Linked DNA regions of Arabidopsis thaliana. The protein of the gene in region 4 interacts with the protein of the main gene of each other region in a pairwise test. Each region holds a gene or a part of one and is shown on either strand. Other genes may lie near its edges.

Region 1 (2,869 bases), on a different chromosome or scaffold from region 4:
TGTCTTGTCACTAAATTCCCAACTTTTGGTGTGTTCTATTAATATTCTTCATTGCTTTAGGTCTGAATCATAGTGTTAAGTGAAATAAACATTGAGGGAAATGGGTTAAGTAAATGTACTGAGATAGCTTGCCATCTAAGCAAGCAACAGAAAAATTGGGCTAATCAAAGTCCGGTCCCGGAAACAATAGAAGACAGGCCTTCTAGGCCAACTTAGTCACGTGATCCATTAACCGTACGATAAGGGGGCGAGTCAGAGTAATAATATCCCACAATGATCAGGTGTGTTGTGTTGCACCATACCTTGCGTGTTCTTGAGATGAAAATATCTAAAGAGTGGGGGCAAGGTAAGGTAATTTTACGAGATGTCGGCATGTAAGCTGAAGCCGTACGATTTATATACCAAACAAATAAACGGTGCAGATCTCGTAGTTGACTTGGTAGCGCCAAAAATAAAAAGCCGTGGATTGCTCTTTTAATTGGATCTCTGTGCTACCGACTACTTTCAGTGTTCTCTTCTTCTCCACTAATTCAGATCACATTCAAGAATCTTCTTCACTCACATCTCTGAAAAAATGGCGAGCAACATGGAAGTTTTCTGCGAGATCTTAATCGCGATCCTTCTTCCACCTCTTGGAGTTTGTCTCAAACGTGGCTGTTGCACTGTAAGTTATTGGAATTTTGGAATCATGAATCTTGAGATTTAGTTTAGAAAATCTGACTCTTAGTTTTTTTGCAGGTAGAGTTCTTGATTTGCTTGGTGCTGACAATCTTAGGATACATCCCAGGGATAATTTATGCACTATACGTGATCGTGTTTCAAAACCGTGAAGGCTCTACCGAACTTGGAGCTCCACTTAACTCAGCTTGATCTGTTTTGGTCCATTACACGGATCAATATGTTGTTGAAACTGTTTTACTTATCATGTACCAAATAATAAGTTGCTTTGCAATTTTTATGTATTGAAGATTTGAGAACATTGTCGCGTTATTGATACATTGCTTATCTTTTTGATGTATAACTTGTTGGCTTTTGCAAAGTCAGGCTACGGACCTTCCTAAGAGTTAATGTATCAAATTCTTTGCCAAGATTGTATTTACCGGAGTTTAAACTTCGCAAAATGCGGAAGCATTTTTGAGTTTGAAAGGATTTTGTATGATGCCAACATATATTATGGTATAGATTATGCTAAAAAAGATAGATTTCTGTTACTTTGGCAAATAATGACAATGATTGTGAGTTGAGGAATCAAAGTCTCAGTAATACGACACCGTTTGAGTCAAAACGTTTCTGTCCAATTCCAGTCTGGTCCCGGGATTAATAAAATAGACAGGCCTTCCCAGGCCCATTTAGTCACATGGATGAGTCAGAGACTAAAATATCTAAAAGTGATCTGATGTGATAAGGGTGCACCATATCGTTCGTTGTGATTCACGAGATGTAATCTAAAGCCGTACGATTTAAATATCAATAAATGAACGGTGCAGATCTCGCACATTGACTTTGTAGTGGAAACAAAATAAAACGTGGACTGATCTCTCTTCATTGGTACTCTCAACTCTGTGACAGCAAGTTTCAGTGTTTTGTCTTTTAAAAAAACTCTTAAAGCTTCTTCTTCTCTCATCTCATCTCTCTGAAAAAATGCCGAGCAACTGTGAGATTCTGTGCGAGATCATTATCGCGATCCTTCTTCCTCCTCTCGGAGTTTGCTTCAGGAAAGGATGCTGCACTGTAAGTTCTCTCTCTCTCTCTTTCGAATTCCTCAATTTTGAAGAATCCTGGAACTTCTTATAGAGACTGTAATTTTGGATTGATTATAATGTAATTTGGTATGAGTAATGAAGGGAGTGCTTAATCTATGATATGAATCGCAGAAATTCTCTGGATTGGATCAATTTATGTTTGATTCATTGATTCCTGAAAGCTTGGATAATCATTTGAAGAAAGTTGAATTTTTTTTATGTGTGGTTTGTTTTGGCAGGTGGAGTTTTTGATATGCCTGGTGTTGACGATCTTAGGCTATGTCCCGGGGATAATATATGCGATTTACGTGATTGTGTTTCAGCACCGTGAAGAGTACTTTGATGAATACAGACGCCCCATCTACTCTGCTTGATTTCTGTTTCTTTGGAACTGTGTTGCTTTGACTTGTACCAATAAAGTTGCTTTGCAGTTGTTTTCAGAGATTTGAAAACGTTTGTGTGTCATTTATATGCAATATTGAAAGTTTCTTCTGTTATCAGCTTATGAACCCTCCTGCTATGTGTGCTTATGCATCAGGTTGTTGACATAGTGTTTTCGCAAGGCACAAATTAAATTATTAAATTGAAAGGTTAAAAAAAAAAAGAGTTTAATTAGAAGGCGAAGAACATCAACAGAATTGAGCTCGCGACCGTGGAACCGTAGCGCAATGCCATCGAGAGACAAGGTCGACTAGTAGCGGATGATCCACCCGCACCATGACCACTACTGGGGACACGACGGTGGCTACGACCACCACCACGACTACCACCACCAACACCACCAAAACGAGCTTTCCTCATGAAAACTCGAAGAGAGTCATGATGATCCAACGGATTGGAGTCACCGTGTTGTGCAAGTCTTCGTTCACTCTCCTTATTTTCAGATGAAATTGGCAAAGGCTGAGAGAGTAACAATAGGAGTACAATCAATGAACAAGAAAATGCCAGTGAAGTCCTCATTTCTGTTTTATCAAATAATATGTGTGTATATACATGTATCTGATCGAAAAAAATCAGAAATATGTGTTAATTTTACAATGATGGGACGCATTATGTGTGCAAAAGAATTAGTATTTATAATATCGCTAGGCTTAGGTAACGAAACGACCATGGCTTAAACATGGGCT
Region 2 (7,669 bases), on a different chromosome or scaffold from region 4:
TGAGATATCACGTTTTCGAAATATATAGTTTTCTAAATATACTAGCTACTTCATATTAAACAGCAATATTAGGACTTAACAGTTTAGATTAATTAATCGCATGTTTATTGTTCATCATTAATTACCCTAGTTACCCAATACTAGAAATCAATCTCTTCTTTAATATATGTCCGAAAAATATTACATTTGCAATTTTAGAGATAAAATACACATGTACGTAGGCCAAGTTTTACATCTCGTAAATATACATCATAAAAATGGGGCTAATTACCCAGAAAAATAAAGTAGTAATTACATAATGAAAAAAAAAAATCCTTGTTTGTAAATAAACAAATATAACACCATAAACTGAATTTGATCATTTTTATAATAAAATAAAATAATTCAAATTAAGTTTGATTTCTTTCATCGGGCTGATGAATAAGTGAAACTTGTATTTCTTCGAGTGATAATCCTTTCGTTTCTGGAACGAGCAACCATATAAAAAGCAACGCTGCTCCACCGATACCCGCGAATATGAAAAACGTTCCTATTACATTAATTAAACTATATAAGAAAATTATAAATTAAATGCAATTATAATATATATATATATATATATAGACATTAGGAGAAAATAAAATAAATACAAACTATATAACATATTCACTCAACCAAAAATTTAACTAATTAGTCTTTTAAAATAAAATAAACAAATAGTTGTGTTATAAAATGTATATGAGGTTTCATTGAAATGCTATAAACACAGACTTTGAAAACTATATAAGTTTTCTAGACTTAATCATTGATTATTTCTATGCGATATACAAAAAAAAAGGATAAGTTATAACTTTTTTTGTTGATCACAAGATAATTTATATAACCAAAATTGTATAAAATGGATATTAAGAAAAAGAAAAACATAATACCTTGAGTGCTCCATTCGAACAGAAAGTTGAAAGCGTAAGTGACGATTGAACTACTTGAAAATGAGACTAACGTAACTATACTTCCTGCAGTTACTTTTATATTTATTGGAAATATCTGCACACACCAAAAATCATACATATATTACTTTATTTTTCAAGACATATTACTTACTTCCTGCATAGAAATAAAATTAACAGTGAAGTAAATTTATGTACCTCCGACATAATTACCCAAGGTAGACCTCCCAAGCCTATTGCATAAGTTGCAATATACATCTGCCGATTTAAAAAATATCAATTTTAACTATATTTTATATGTAAAAGAAACATCAACGTAAATATTTTCATCAAAAAGATTGTGTACAAGGAGATATAATGTCTTACCATTACGCATATAAACGATAATATTGGAGTTAGTTCCGAAAGCAATTGCATTTTCTGCTCATGCAAAAACATTGTTAAACAAATAAGTTATTGGTTTAAAAACAGAATAAATAAAAATAGTAATTATCTTACAAAAAAAATAACCTGTAATGTGAAGGCGACCCCAAGTAGCATGCAAGTCATGCTCATCCCAAACGCTGAAGTCTATGTCAAAATAGTAATCAAATCAATATAGACTAATAGATTTGAATCTGCGAACAGCCAGAAATTATTTAAAGACATGCTCACCATCAGGAGAGGACGTCTGCCCCATTTATCGACAAGAATGAGGCCAATCATGGCTTTTGGAATCTGCGAATAGCCAGATATTATACCATTCAATGCTTTCACGAGTTAAAAGAAAAAAAACTAGTACATGAAAATTCTTAGTTCAAAGAGTTCATTAAAGTACGAAATTTTAACAAAATAAAAAATGTCGTTTTTTCAACTGTGATAAAATGTCGATTAAAACGCCAACATCACACAAGTTTTGTTTTTTTTTGAATATTTGGAAGTTGAAACCCAAAAATTCTATATCTCCTAGAAACGCGACCTATACCAGGTTAAATAACATCACACAAGTTTAGTTGCTCAATAACAACAGATTTCAGAGACGTAGTTTCATTTCTTAAATTTTGCATCCATATAGTCAAACAAAATTTGAGAAAAACATTTATATATACTTACCACGAAGATACCTAGCATCGTCGTTCCAATGGCCACCGAAAAACCTGTTTCCATCCAGAACAATTATTGAGCAAAAAAAAATGGAAAGAGGAACTCATGGTAAATATTTACTAAAACCCTTTCTCTTAAAGTATTTAGAATGAGCTAATGGCATCATTTTACAAAATAAATACACAATTTAATTTTATTTTGAGAAATCTTAGGAGTTCAGGACCTTTGCCCATAATCTATTGATTGGTAGAATAAAATATGTTTTGTTAGAAAAAAAAACATTCTCAGAGAAACTGAAACTTCTATGCAAATCTTCACTTGCAGATTTGAACAGATTGTCATATAATATATATATAGTTATTATTATTTCTGACATTTTAATATAAAATTAAACATTAATAAAAATAAATGAATGCTTACCAGCTTTTCTAAAAATGGTACTTGCATAAGAGATTACAGCAGCACTTCCTGAGAATTGTTGTATCAACATTAGCCCGATTCCTACCTGAGATATTAATTAAAAATGAATGCTTGTGCAGATAAATTAAATATGAAAATTTGATACTCTAGAAATTAGTTTGATGTACTTGTACGTACCACGAGGGTGTATCTATACTTTCTCTGGAACAAATCTGAAAAACTCGACTTTGAATCATTTTCCACCATTTTGGTCATTACCTGAAAACAACACAGAATTATTCAGACTTTACATTTTTTTATTTGTGAAGGAATGAAAATATAATTTCAAAGAAAAAGGGAATGTATATTTATTGAAAATTATATAAATTATAACTGATAATAGTATATAGTAAAACTCACTTGAATTTCTGAGGCTTCACGTGAAATATCAGCATCTCTTCCTCTAAGCCGAAACAGTGAATTTTCTAGTTCTTTATCGGAGCCAACTTTGGCCTTCAAAATGAAAATAGTTTGGTTTAAATTTTTTTCTTCTCATGGTTGATAATAATTAATAAATTACGTAAAACACTAAAGAAAAATTAAATGACCAACCAGCCATCTTGGAGACTCTGGCACGAAGAATAAACCGATTACTTGAATGAAGCATGGTAAAGCACCTAAACCAAAAACGTATTACATTTTTATCAGTTGATTTGCTATAATATAACAGCTGAAGATTTCCAGTTTTTTTCTACTATACATTTAACATATTCTTACGTCTCAAAACAATTTTTTCACGATGAATATGGAATTTATAGTCTTACCTAATAAAGCCAACGTCCTCCAAGTGATGAAATTCCCACAGAAATAAATCATGGCGAGTCCAGCGTTTTGAAGAAGCTAATAATCAATAATTACACAAGAATGAAACAAGGATCAATATACTCACGAGAAATTTTGAAAAGTTTTAATTTGGATTTTGGTTGGTTTGTCTTAGACTAGTTTGTGCTATTTTTTTTTTTTGTCAGCACTCATTCTTATAAATATTCTAAAAACCTAAAGTATTACCTGGTTTGAAAACGTAAATGTACCACGAACATGTTTTGGCGTAATTTCTGCTATGTAGACAGGTACCTGCTTGGTAAATAAGCAAAAATTACAGATCAGAAAACAAACTTACAAAGATGATATTAAATAATAATAATAATAAGTTAATTACCACATAGCTCGTCAAGCCGAAACCTATCCCTGAAATGATTCTTCCGAAGTTCAGCAACACTACTTCCTATTGTATTCCAAAACATAACATAAATTTAATTATTGGGTTTATAATAACCATAAATTAATTGGTTTGTTTATTTTCTAAGAAATAATGTTTGAATGAAAAAAAAAACATGTTTATGAATAGAAAATAACTAGTAGTACCTTAGCAAAAGCGATGGAGAGCCAACCAGTGATGCATAGGAAATCGGAGACCCACATTGTCTATTATATCATAAATAGCAAAAATATTATTATAAGCATCATATATACGAAAATTATAGTCACGAAAGAACCAAAAAAATAGAAGAATGGTAAAATTACGAATATGAAAGGTGAAATGGTTAAATTAATTACCCCTCTTCTGCCAATGACCATTGCCAGATTACCGCAGAACAGTGCACCAATTGCAGCTCCTAAAGTGGCGAATGAGCCAAAAGCTGAAAACTGAGAAAAAAATGATTTATAACAAATATAGTTTTCATATATATAGTATTATTATTATTATTTTTAATATATATATATATATATATATATATATAATATTTCAATATTTCAAATTTCTATTATTGTAGATGAGAGAATTGGCCGGAGAATGGTTCTGGAACGATGGAAACGTTGATAGCTAGATAATGTTTTTATAAGATGATTTTGACAACCGCTCAATATATCAGGATATATGTGCATATATATAGTTTTGGTAGGGTTATTATTATGATAAATAATGTTTTTTTTTGGATGATTTCGACAATTCCATATATATCAGGATAATATATATATATAGTTTTGGTAGGGTTATGATAAGAGTTTAAAAAATGGGTAAAAAAGGAGGTGAACCACACCAACAAAGAAGTATAATCAACTCAATGGGATAACGACAATCTATATGTTTCTTCTTTAGAATTGATGGTTGTTTGTTTCAATTTGAATGAATAAAGAAACAAATATTTACGGATTTAAAAATGATGTGAAGCTTGTATTTTGATAAAAATTGAACGATAATTAACCTAGCTATTTTTTGCATATGTCAATATGTCACTCGCTCTCAGTTGCTTAATTATACACAAAACTTTGTTTGTTTGTTTAAGGATGATAGTATAAAAGAATTAACTTTGAATGGATGTGGTTTTTAAACTAGTTTTTGGTTTTAGTTTTTTCTAAAATCTATTTTGTAACCATTCAAAATTTTGAAAAAACAAGTTTTCTTAAAAAAATAGGGAATCTAGTTTTTGAGTGTTTTAACAACTTTTCAAAGAAAATCAAAATCTATGTTTTGAGAGTTTCTCTATAAAAAAACCATCGATCACATTTTTTATTTTATTTTTAGATTTTTTTTGTAAAATAAAATATAATCCATTAACATAAAAACCAAAATCTAAACAAATTACCATTCAAGTTTTTAAGAAACTAAAATCTACACCAAAAACAAAAACCAAGAAAATCAAAAACTAAAAACCAAAATCCAAAAACCATTTTAAAAACTACAAACATTCATGGCCTTAGTCTTTTTTTTTTGATAAAATTTGCTACTTGGTTAATTTTCAATACATGTTTTTAGAAATAGAAGAAAAACCGTAAAAGAGAGACATACTTGCGCGATAGAAAGATCCAAGTCCTTCATAACTCCTGTCTCAGCACCTGAAGTGTAACCAGTCTGTATAAAAACAACAAAAACTATAAGAAAATAGGTATAACGTAATTATGAAGTATGTTTTCTTTTCATACAATTTTGTTGTTTTCATTTGTTCTTCTATAGAAGAAGAAAAAATCAAAGTAAGGTAAAGTAGAAAACTCACAGCAACACCAAAAGAGAAGGAGCCACAAACGGCGACAAAAGTGCTAAGGATAACACAAGCAGTAATACGACACTCTGAATCGTCGTTTTTGTTCTTGAGCTGCAAAAGCCCTTCTTCTATGCTTCTTCCTTCCTCCATCACCATCCCTTACACTTGCATGTACTAATATGACGAAACTTATGGTAAAGAAACAGTGAGAGCTAGAGAGAAAATGCTCTGTTTTTAGCAAAAAACCAAGAGAGCTAGAGAAAGAAGAGAAAGAGAGCGAATGATGTGTTTGTCAATTTAGACTACGTATAAAAAGAGGCTGGGAATTAAAAATGGTTATTTTGGTTTTCTACTCTTTAGGGGTTTTGGATTGGAAAAGCTAACGTGTGGACGTGAGACGTTTTTTTAAACAAGATCAAGTCAAATTTCATTAAACCAAGTTTTGTTGTTTTAAATTATAAAAATACAGCTAAGTATTAGTATATGATCATTCATCATCTGGATTCTAAAATAGTTTGACGTATACAAAATGCTAAACACTTTGAAAAAATATCCTTTAACCAGCAAATGGTGAAGACTTCTAATTAAGGGTTGGATTGGAAAGCTAACGTGGACGCGTAAGACCTTTTTTGTAAGACTTTGGGTTTTATTGGTAACCAAAAGCTGTACAAAATTTTTATTTGTTAGCTTTATCGGAATAGTACAAAGCTGTTAAAAGGAACTGTATAAAAAAAGCTGAGAGTAAAACACTTTTTGTAACGTTTTTGATAAAAAAATTGTGATTGGTAACTGTCAAAACGGTACAAAACTGTATTGTTATTAAAATGGTTACCATTCAAACCCTTTATATCATTTTAAGTCAAATTTCATTCAACTAAGTTTTCTTCTTGAAAAAATAAATACAAGTACTATTTAAATTATTATTATATGATCATTTGTCATGAGCGTATTCTTAAATAGTTTGACGAATTAAAAATACTGTAGTATGAAAAAAATATTGACATATTCTTTAAAATACCAAAGTTTTTTTTATAACAAATTATAAACAACGATTAATCGTCTATAGCGAATGATCCTAGTTATATGTCAATGTGGAGAAAGCTCTTTTCACATATAATTGGAAGCAATAATCTGAGTCAGGACATATACGTTACCTTGGATCAACAAAAATCGACAGTTACTCTTTTTTTCTCTCTGAAAGATTATTCTCAACTTGTAAAAGTGACGTCTTCTCTTGTTGATTGGTCCCTTATCTCAACGTATCTAGATGGATTCACGATAAGTATTATTTTGAATTCCATGCAATTTAAATTATATTAATGTGTATATATTGCTGGTTTGGATTATGGAATATTTTAACTTAAATTCATATCTTTGAGTAAAAAAAATATCTCTCCAAGACTATAACATTATAAGTTTGAATGGTAACACAATACAGCTTTGTACAGTATTGATAGTTATCAATCACAAAAACTTTATCAAAAACGTTACAAAAAGTTTTCTTCTTAGATTTTTTGTACAGTTTTTTTATACAGCTCTTTTAACAGTTTTGCACTATTTCGATAAAGTTAACAGCTAAAAAACTTGTACAACTTTTGGTTATCAATCAGATCCTATATTCGGGTGTTTTAAGAAGTTTTCACTCGTAACCAAAAGAAAATTGGATGACGATGGAACTCCATATTTGATGTAGAAAAAACAATCATTTATAGTCATTCATAATCATTGGATGAAAACCGTACGTTTCAACCTTTTTGTTTCTTTTTTTACATTAACTTGTTTAAATACCTCACAAGTTATTAGAACCTTTTAGTCATTCTTTGATTGAGTTTGCTAATACTTTTAATTAAATGTTTAATTAATCATAATTTAACGTTTTTGTCCTCCGTTGTTATTATTCTTACGTGAGGATCTATATTTGTACCTGTTACCATCTAGAAATGGAACCAAGTATTTAATTTTATTCATCAGTCTGCTGCTGAATTTTAAATATTAGGAGATTATAAAAAAAGAAAGGTCAACTAAAGAATTCGTAACGCGTACGGATCAACTATAATATCAATAAATGCTATTTTTGACAAATTATCAAATCTACAAATATTTTTAAACGCTTAATGACATATCTGTCCAAATAAACCATACAGAAGGAGAAATGATTAATGGAACTATATAACTAACGATAGTACTAATTTAAGTGTTGTCTAAAATTTTGTATAA
Region 3 (4,751 bases), on a different chromosome or scaffold from region 4:
GGTTTCCTACTCATGGTAAATAATCAATCACTTACATTACTTTCACGAACAAATACTATAACTTTAAAACCTTCAACTTTCGTGAAGCATTCAAGAACTCGTTAAAGATGGGAAGAACGGACTTTTGTTTTCATCTTCATCAGAATTAGCAGATCAATTATTGGTAAGTAACTCGTCTTTCTTTTTAAAAGACTATTTCACCAAGTCTACAGCAGAAGACAGCAGTAATGTTCTTGTGTTTTGTCTTTGTGAACAGATTCTCTTCAAGGGTTTTCCAGGGAACTGTGATGCACTAATGTCGCTTAAAGCGGGTGCAATGGAGACTGGTTCTTCGGGTCGATGGGCTACAGAGTGGGAAGATTGTGCAAAACCTTTAATCACTCAGGCAAAATCCGTCGGCCCTCTCTGTATCCCGCACACATACTTTTTTATTGGGCTATTTCTCATAAGATGTCTTTATGTCTGGTCTATGCAGGTCGTGTCTCAAATTGCAGATTCATGAAAGAGAAGACTCAAAATCGATGGGCTTGAGAGTTTCTCACACAACTGCTTTTGTAGATCCAAATTTTTATACAAAATCCTATAGATTACAAGATTGTCTCGAAAATATTGACAGAATCTGAATTCAAAATGGTTTCGCATGAGTCTGTGTATGAATGAGTAAATGATATCAAAATCTTTCTTAACCAAAAGTAAGGCCAAAGAAAAACACTGAAAGGCTCAAAGCAAATTCAACAGTTAATGTAACAATATAAAATAAAAAAAACTGAAGAAACCTGTGAATCCATAAACCAGCTAGCTTTAAACAAAAGACTCTGCCTTCTTCGTGATGTTTAAATCCATTTCCATCTTTTGTTTTTCCCTCGTGTCTGCATACTCGTATGGTCGGATAAAAATCCTTGTAAAACTTAGCAAAGAGACTCACTTTGCCTTCGTCTTAGTTTTCTTGAGGAGGCTGGAAGTTCTGAACTCAGCATCGTCTCTAATGAAGCTCCACCAGAGAATGGTTAAGGGAATTGTGGCAGCGTGCCAGATCGAGTGAGCATCGAAGTAGCCTTCATATGGAGGAAAATCATATATCTCTAGAAGCATGGCTAATCCTCCAGCTATCACAACCACCCAAAGTTTCCAATTAGAAGGGTGGCTTGAGACAGCGGCCCATCTTGCCCATAGGAAAAGCTGTGAGACTCCCATTGCCACACACACAATCATGTTCCAGCCTGTAAACGACATTCAACTGATGAATTCACCAAAAATATTGACTCGATTTTTAGACAACGGAAAGTTATTGAGGGTACCATAGTCGAGTTTGTAGAAGTTTATGTAGAGTATGTGGGTGGTTACAAAAGCTAGTATTGGAGCGGATACCATGACCCTTGCAGCCTCAACCCGAATATCAAATGTTCGTAAAATGGCTAAGATGAGTGAGAATCCGAGAATCGCTACTGCGGATGAGTAGTCCAACCTCTCTGTAAGGTCAACATCCCTGAGAACCACAGAGACGGATTACCAGAAAATCACATATGAATATATGATGCAGATTGTGGATAATAGAGTAATGTGTAGATGATTTACCGGCTGTGGAAAACAGCACTCCAGAACCAAGAGTTCATGGACAGGAGACCGTAGATATGCCACAAACCAACGTATTCATAGTACGCTGTCCTATCTTGTTTCAGAGGCAACTTATAGTAGATCATGATGAAAAAGGAAAGCCAACCATGGAAATGCATTGCTAGGTTGAGTACAGAGAAAGCAACAGAAGCAGGCTCCTGGCAAAGAACAAGGTAAGTCAAAACTCATATTATATGGAAACAACCAGAATAAAAAAAAGCGATTGAAGAAAAAAACTAACCTGAATCCCAAGTACACGCTTGAAGGGCCATTTACCATGGTACTTGACTGGGGCTTGACCGAGAGTTTCCCGTTCAGTCTCTCTATTAACCATACATTGATAACGGCAATCACCTTGACAACCCCATTTTTTCCATTGTAAATACAAAGGTTCTTGGATGTACCATGGACCACCATCGGATGAAGAATTGCACTGAGGAAAGCAAAGTTGTCCAACACAACCGCTTATCTCACATTCTGAAACACATGTCCTGACACAAAATTGCCAGACATTCATAATCTCCACGAATCAAAAATGTTGCTTACATATAAGCTACAACAAAACCAAGTTCACGATAGATACTCAAAGATTACCGAAATTCTAAGATTACCTGTAATCTGGATCAGCATCGCCAGCACTAGCATTTGAAATACAGAAAAGGCATGGCAACAATAGAAACAGGGCTGTCCAGTAGTGGACTGCCATCTGAGCAGAAAGTTGAAGTGAAATCACTGCGTGATAATAACAATGCAAGCCTCAAAAAACAAAGAAAGAAATCGCTTAAAGGAGCTGCAAATGGAAACTATGAATCAGAGACTATAAAAAAAAACTACAAATGTGAAGATCTTCATATGATGCTTCCGTTAAGAATCCTAAAGCAAGTGTTTATTCCAGTGAAAGAAATTCTCACATATCAATAAAAATCCTTCTATAATTCGACCTTGAAAGACTACAGAATCTCTTGGTTAAGGATCGAACTTGATTTCTGTAGAATCTAATACTATGATTTCCAGATTCGATCAGATTATCGAAAACTCAGAACTTAAATCAAATGCAGAGCTTAAACCCCCTCGAGATCTACCAATCAAGCAGGGACAACAACAACAAGATGAGAAATCGATCAGCTATAATGTAGAGAGCAAGAAAATAGAGAAAAAATCGAGCAGATCAGATAGAATCCAATACCTCCCGAGTCTGAGTCTGAGAGTCTGGTCTTCGCAACAATGTTAAAGCTTCAAAGAATATTATCGCACTCCTGTAAATAATGGAGACGACGAAAGAGAAGACCACGTGTCTTATAATTTAAACTAAACGACGTAGTTTTTGCATTATTCTTTTTCTTTCTAGTTTCTACCATTATCTGCTTTACAAAATGTCCCCCAAAAAAGAGTAACAAAACCTTCTTTCGTATTTATCTTATCTCAATAATATAATTGTTACAAGTACTCAGAAGAATGGGAATTTGCAGACATAATATAAGTAAGAGAGGTTTTAGTGCAAGGCAAAAAGAATGACCCTATGGTTTCCTTCCAATGCTTTCTTGGAGCTTTTTTGATAGTTCCTCATAGTGTCTTCTTTGCTGTTTGTTCACAGAAGGTGAGACTAAGGACAATGCTTGCTCGAAATGAGTCATCTTAATCGTACACTGACTTGTATCTGTAATATCGTCATCATCTTCACATGAAATTGTGGTGATCTCCTCCACTGCCTGGAATGTAGCTTTTTGCACCAAGTGAGCGAGATCAGCTCCGCTGAAACCTTCACAATTCATCTTTGCAATGCTATCAAGATCAACACTAGGATCTATGGGCTTCTTCCTTGCAATAGCTTTTAGAATTGAAGCACGTTCATCGGCGTTAGGGAGGGGTACATATAGAAGATTCCCAAACCTACCAGGTCTCAAGAACGCAGGATCAATTACATCTGGCCTGTTTGTAGCTCCAATTACGTATACATTACGCCTCTCTCCACCGTCTAGCTCAACAAGGAACTGGTTTAAAAGCCGTTCAACAACCCAGGCACCTTCTTTGCCACGGCTTGTTGTCAAAGCATCCACCTCATCAAAGAAGATCACACATGGCGAACATGTCCGGGCACGCTGAAACAATGTCCGAATAGCAAGCTCGCTCTCTCCAACGTACTTGTTTAGAAGCTCTGCACCCTTGATGTGCATGAAATTAGCTCCTGCCTCGTTAGCAACTGCCTTTGCAATCAATGTCTTGCCACAACCCGGTGGTCCATAGAGTAAAAATCCAACCTCTAAGTCTACCCCAAAAGCCTAAAAAGAACCAAAGTGGCACATTCAGACCTCGAGAGAAAAAGCAAGTAATCTTGACTATATAACAGTTCTAAGTGACTTATTAGTTACCTTGTAAATATCAGGCTTTTTGATAGGTCTGACTATATAGCGGTTGAATTCAAGTCGTAGATGCTCAAGTCCACCAACATCATCCCACTTGACATCAGGCACGATAGAGAATCCTTCCCTTGTTAAAGATGCCTGAACTAGATTCACTGCTTCCTAGTAGATTACAGAGCAACCAACAGAGTTAGGAACCAAGGATTAAAATCTCGTAGCTATTGAAGTACAGAAAAGTAGACTCATGCCATGCCTACAATTAACATACCTCGAAATCAGACATCTTAACAAAGAGTTTTTCCAACTCTTCTTCTGGCCAGGGATGCCTCAGCCAAGAACTATCATCTTCAGAGTCCCCAGCCAGTTGAGATTTTCTTGAATCCAAGATTCTCTTTGTGGCAATCCTGCCAGCCATGTTAGCAACACCCTCCAAATCTGCTCCAACAAAACCCGGCGTTAAACGAGCTATTCTTTTCTTGTCAAAGGGCCCTTCTAGTCTAAGTTTTTGGGCTACAACAGAAAGTATCTCAGCTCTTGCATCTTCATCTGGAACACCTAGAGCAATCTCACATTCAAATCGTCCACTTCTCCTCAAAGCAGGATCAAGAACATCAGGCCATTTGTAGCTCCAATAACGAGAACAAATCCAACACTAGACTCAGGACCATTGTTACCAGGTCCATCCATACAAGTCAATAATTGCGTTACAATCCGCTTTTCCATCTCCCTTTGCTGATTTTCCCTCTTTGATCCAATCGCATCAATCTCATCGATAAA
Region 4 (2,992 bases):
TTTGAAATAATTAATGTGTATGGTAAACTAGATTAGAATTAGTTCTAGACTTCTAGTGGTCGAGATTTGTTCATAAGCTTTATGCTCGGACACGTGAGGAACATACCAAAATGTTCGAATCTATTATGCCATACACTTATTTTAATCATTTCTTCTCTATGATAGATTGCTCACCTAATTTATATATAATCTAAGAATATACTACTTAGCTTTAACGTATTTTATCCGATAACGAATTCATGATACCAAAAAAGTTCTAAAACAAAAGAGGCATCTTGTATTATTTATAGTATTTCTAACTAAAACACAACACTGATAACATTTAAATTGCTTTGTTCCGTTTAATTAGTAAACAAATGAAAAGCTGTCGCGTCGGTGGTTGGGTTTCATTCGGAAAGATTTAAAAGTAAAGCGCACGGATTTTAAGGTCGTTCAACATTTAAATTTTTTTTGAAAGTAAAATCATATATCAATGCAATGTGTAATCTTGTAACGTATAAACTAATGAGAGATACCTAAAGAAAAGAAGCCTCGCGCCTAAACAGAAACATAAGATTAAAATAAGTAATATAGAAGCATAAACTTAAGCAAGATTTTATTCCTCGTGAAAATATTACATTTTGTAATTTTATTTTCTCTAGTATTAAAAAAGGAACAACTAATTAACGGAAATACTTAAGGAATTAAGAACAGAGAGGTCTCATACTTAGTCAAGTTTGGTGAAGCTATCAAAGAGAATGTCTTCGTGTTGTCCGCCGACGACATAGTCAAGAATCCCTTCCGCCGCCACTTTTAAGCCTGCGCCTTCGCCTGGGATGATGGTAGACGAAACCGGGAGATCGGAGGTGCGTGCGAAGAAGAAAACGGCAGCGAGAAAGAGAGCCGTGGAGAGAAAAAGTGGCCAGAAGTAAGATAGAACGGTGAGGAAACCGGGAGAATAAGCGACGAGAGCTACGGTGAGGAGAGATAAAACAAAGGCAAACACGATTTGCAACTTGAACTTCAAAAGCTTCTCCCGGAACTCCATCTCCGATCACCGACAAAGATCTGTGAGTCTGTGACTGTTGTGTTAACACGAGAAAGATGGAGTGAAGAGAGATAGAGATATATCTAAAAGAGAGATAGTACAATGCTAACTCTCTCTCTGTCTTTCCTCTGAGTGTCTATACGTAAAGAAATAGGAAAGATTCTCTGTGACAAGGATAACGTCAAAATCTCAAGTTATTTTGTTTTTAAACGCGTTTGAAAATTATACTGTTTTTCTTCTAACGAAAATGATAATATATTTTTAAGATTTTTATGTTACTTTGTTCTGTGACTTGTATGAACATTTTTTTTTTTGTAAAGTTGTCGTAAAAGTCAAAGAATGAAACATTTTCTGACATAAATAGTAAATCGTACAAAGCTAAAATAATGATAAGAGAGATATTTTCAATTCAGTTATAATGTTGTCCGTTTTGCATGATTGAATTTTTAACTTTGGATTCAGGCCGACCAAAATATGGGCCTTTAAAAGCCCGATTTGGGTTGCTAACAGACGACTACTCTTTTGTTAGAACTTACACGAGCCGCCGTTTCTACTTTCTAGCTCTGGCAAAACGGCGAGGCATTTTCTTTAAACATATCAACATACAATTAGCAGCATCTCTACAAGTTTACACTTCTCTCATAAAACCCAACTCTACGAATAAAAGAGAAGGTGTTTTCATTTATCCTCTTCGTCTAATTGCATCCAAACTCTCAGCAGAGACAAATACAGCTTGCTTTTAACGTCACAAGGCTCGAACCAGACGAGCTGCAAATGCTCCATCTAGTGAGTGTTTCACTGGGTTTGATAAAAAGAAGCCTTGTGAGGTTACAAAACTCGACGGTACAAAACTGGTTACTGGATCTATGGTGAATTCCTGTGAAAGCAGAGAGACTATTTGTTAATATCAACATCTGAAGGAAAGCAAATGGATTATAAAGATTCTTACAGGATGTCTTAAGAGAAATGCTTCGACCCTTCCTTCATTTTCCTCGGGGTCTATGGAGCAAGTACTGTATACCAACACCCCACCGTGCTTCACCAGTCTTTGAGATTCAATCAAGAGTGTCACAGATAAAAGTATCAGATAAGTCGCATATTAGTGTTTCAGAATTAATCAAATGACTCATCAAAATGTATGTACAGAGTGCATACTTGGAGGCAGAATCAAGAAGCTCATCCTGCAGTTTAGTGAGCTCTAACATGTCCTCAAGTTTACGGTTCCAGCGCAAATCCGCTCTCTACAAAATACAGATTAATGGGAACAGGTTAATCAGATCAGGTCAATTCAACTAGCAATGTTAAATCTTGCTGGCGAAACAGTTAGATAAACTTTTCTCATGTTAACCTTGGAGAGGACGCCGAGTCCAGAACACGGGGCATCAAGCAAAACTTTGTCATATTGTACTTCATTGGTTTCCTAAAACACATTAAGTTGGAAGGAAGCATGTGAGTAGCTTACAAACTTGGAAACTTCAGATACTCAAATAATGTTAACTTACAGCAAAGACACGAAGATCAGAATGAATGGTTGTGATAAGTCCATCAACTTGGTGTGATTTTGCTGTCTCACCAAGAATTCTTAGCCGTCCTTCATTCACATCCATAGCATATATCATACCTATAATCGATTCGAGTTTGCCAGTTTGAGGATGGAATCAGTCAAGTATAGTAGAAAAGTTTCTCAAAATAGATAATTTAATTCAACATTAATGTACAATAGAGGAAAATAAGGGGTCTTTGTAATATTACCTTGGCCTTTCAAGCAAGATGCCATGAATAGGGTCTTTCCTCCAGGAGCAGCACATGCATCCATTATCCTCTCGCCTGGCTGAGGTTTCACCACTGAGACTATTAGTCCTGCAGTACCAGATGTGGGGAGATATTTAGATATCAAAAGAACAAAAGGATTTTGGATAAACTTAAATCTGTTAACAGCATGAAAAATTAATGAAGAGGAGACTG

What was found.
Region 1: the proteins of AT3G13175 (region 4) and AT4G30660 interact in a protein complementation assay, tested with the Arabidopsis thaliana proteins (one large-scale study listed by BioGRID).
Region 2: the proteins of AT3G13175 (region 4) and SFP1 interact in a protein complementation assay, tested with the Arabidopsis thaliana proteins (one large-scale study listed by BioGRID).
Region 3: the proteins of AT3G13175 (region 4) and AT1G16560 interact in a protein complementation assay, tested with the Arabidopsis thaliana proteins (one large-scale study listed by BioGRID).

The regions. Positions count from the first base shown.
Region 1 is NC_003075.7:14,953,829-14,956,697, forward strand, and holds AT4G30660 (Low temperature and salt responsive protein family), read left to right. Parts: upstream 1-1,550; 5' UTR 1,551-1,641; coding exon 1,642-1,731; exon of another isoform or gene 1,732-1,981; coding exon 1,982-2,116; 3' UTR 2,117-2,172; exon of another isoform or gene 2,173-2,332; 3' UTR 2,333-2,343; downstream 2,344-2,869. Other genes in the region: AT4G30650 (Low temperature and salt responsive protein family), read left to right, coding at 575-664, 739-870; AT4G30662 (uncharacterized protein), read right to left, coding at 2,355-2,702.
Region 2 is NC_003076.8:9,646,897-9,654,565, reverse strand, and holds SFP1 (Major facilitator superfamily protein), read right to left. Parts: upstream 6,059-7,669; 5' UTR 5,609-6,058; coding exon 5,465-5,608; intron 5,323-5,464; coding exon 5,260-5,322; intron 4,116-5,259; coding exon 4,026-4,115; intron 3,894-4,025; coding exon 3,834-3,893; intron 3,694-3,833; coding exon 3,628-3,693; intron 3,543-3,627; coding exon 3,477-3,542; intron 3,309-3,476; coding exon 3,233-3,308; intron 3,086-3,232; coding exon 3,021-3,085; intron 2,922-3,020; coding exon 2,829-2,921; intron 2,688-2,828; coding exon 2,607-2,687; intron 2,515-2,606; coding exon 2,430-2,514; intron 2,063-2,429; coding exon 2,019-2,062; intron 1,644-2,018; coding exon 1,581-1,643; intron 1,497-1,580; coding exon 1,437-1,496; intron 1,347-1,436; coding exon 1,293-1,346; intron 1,185-1,292; coding exon 1,125-1,184; intron 1,024-1,124; coding exon 909-1,023; intron 530-908; coding exon 390-529; 3' UTR 140-389; downstream 1-139. UniProt on the Arabidopsis thaliana protein: Sugar transporter.
Region 3 is NC_003070.9:5,666,514-5,671,264, reverse strand, and holds AT1G16560 (Per1-like family protein), read right to left. Parts: upstream 2,882-4,751; 5' UTR 2,801-2,881; exon of another isoform or gene 2,347-2,800; 5' UTR 2,321-2,346; coding exon 2,226-2,320; intron 2,106-2,225; coding exon 1,856-2,105; coding exon of another isoform or gene 1,852-1,855; intron 1,773-1,851; coding exon 1,576-1,772; intron 1,487-1,575; coding exon 1,299-1,486; intron 1,221-1,298; coding exon 922-1,220; 3' UTR 557-921; downstream 1-556. Other genes in the region: AT1G16570 (UDP-Glycosyltransferase superfamily protein), read left to right, coding at 1-15, 88-385, 476-502.
Region 4 is NC_003074.8:4,234,554-4,237,545, forward strand, and holds AT3G13175 (uncharacterized protein), read right to left. Parts: upstream 1,262-2,992; 5' UTR 1,028-1,261; coding exon 707-1,027; 3' UTR 522-706; downstream 1-521. Other genes in the region: AT3G13180 (NOL1/NOP2/sun family protein / antitermination NusB domain-containing protein), read right to left, coding at 1,773-1,904, 1,977-2,073, 2,183-2,268, 2,376-2,447, 2,530-2,648, 2,780-2,887.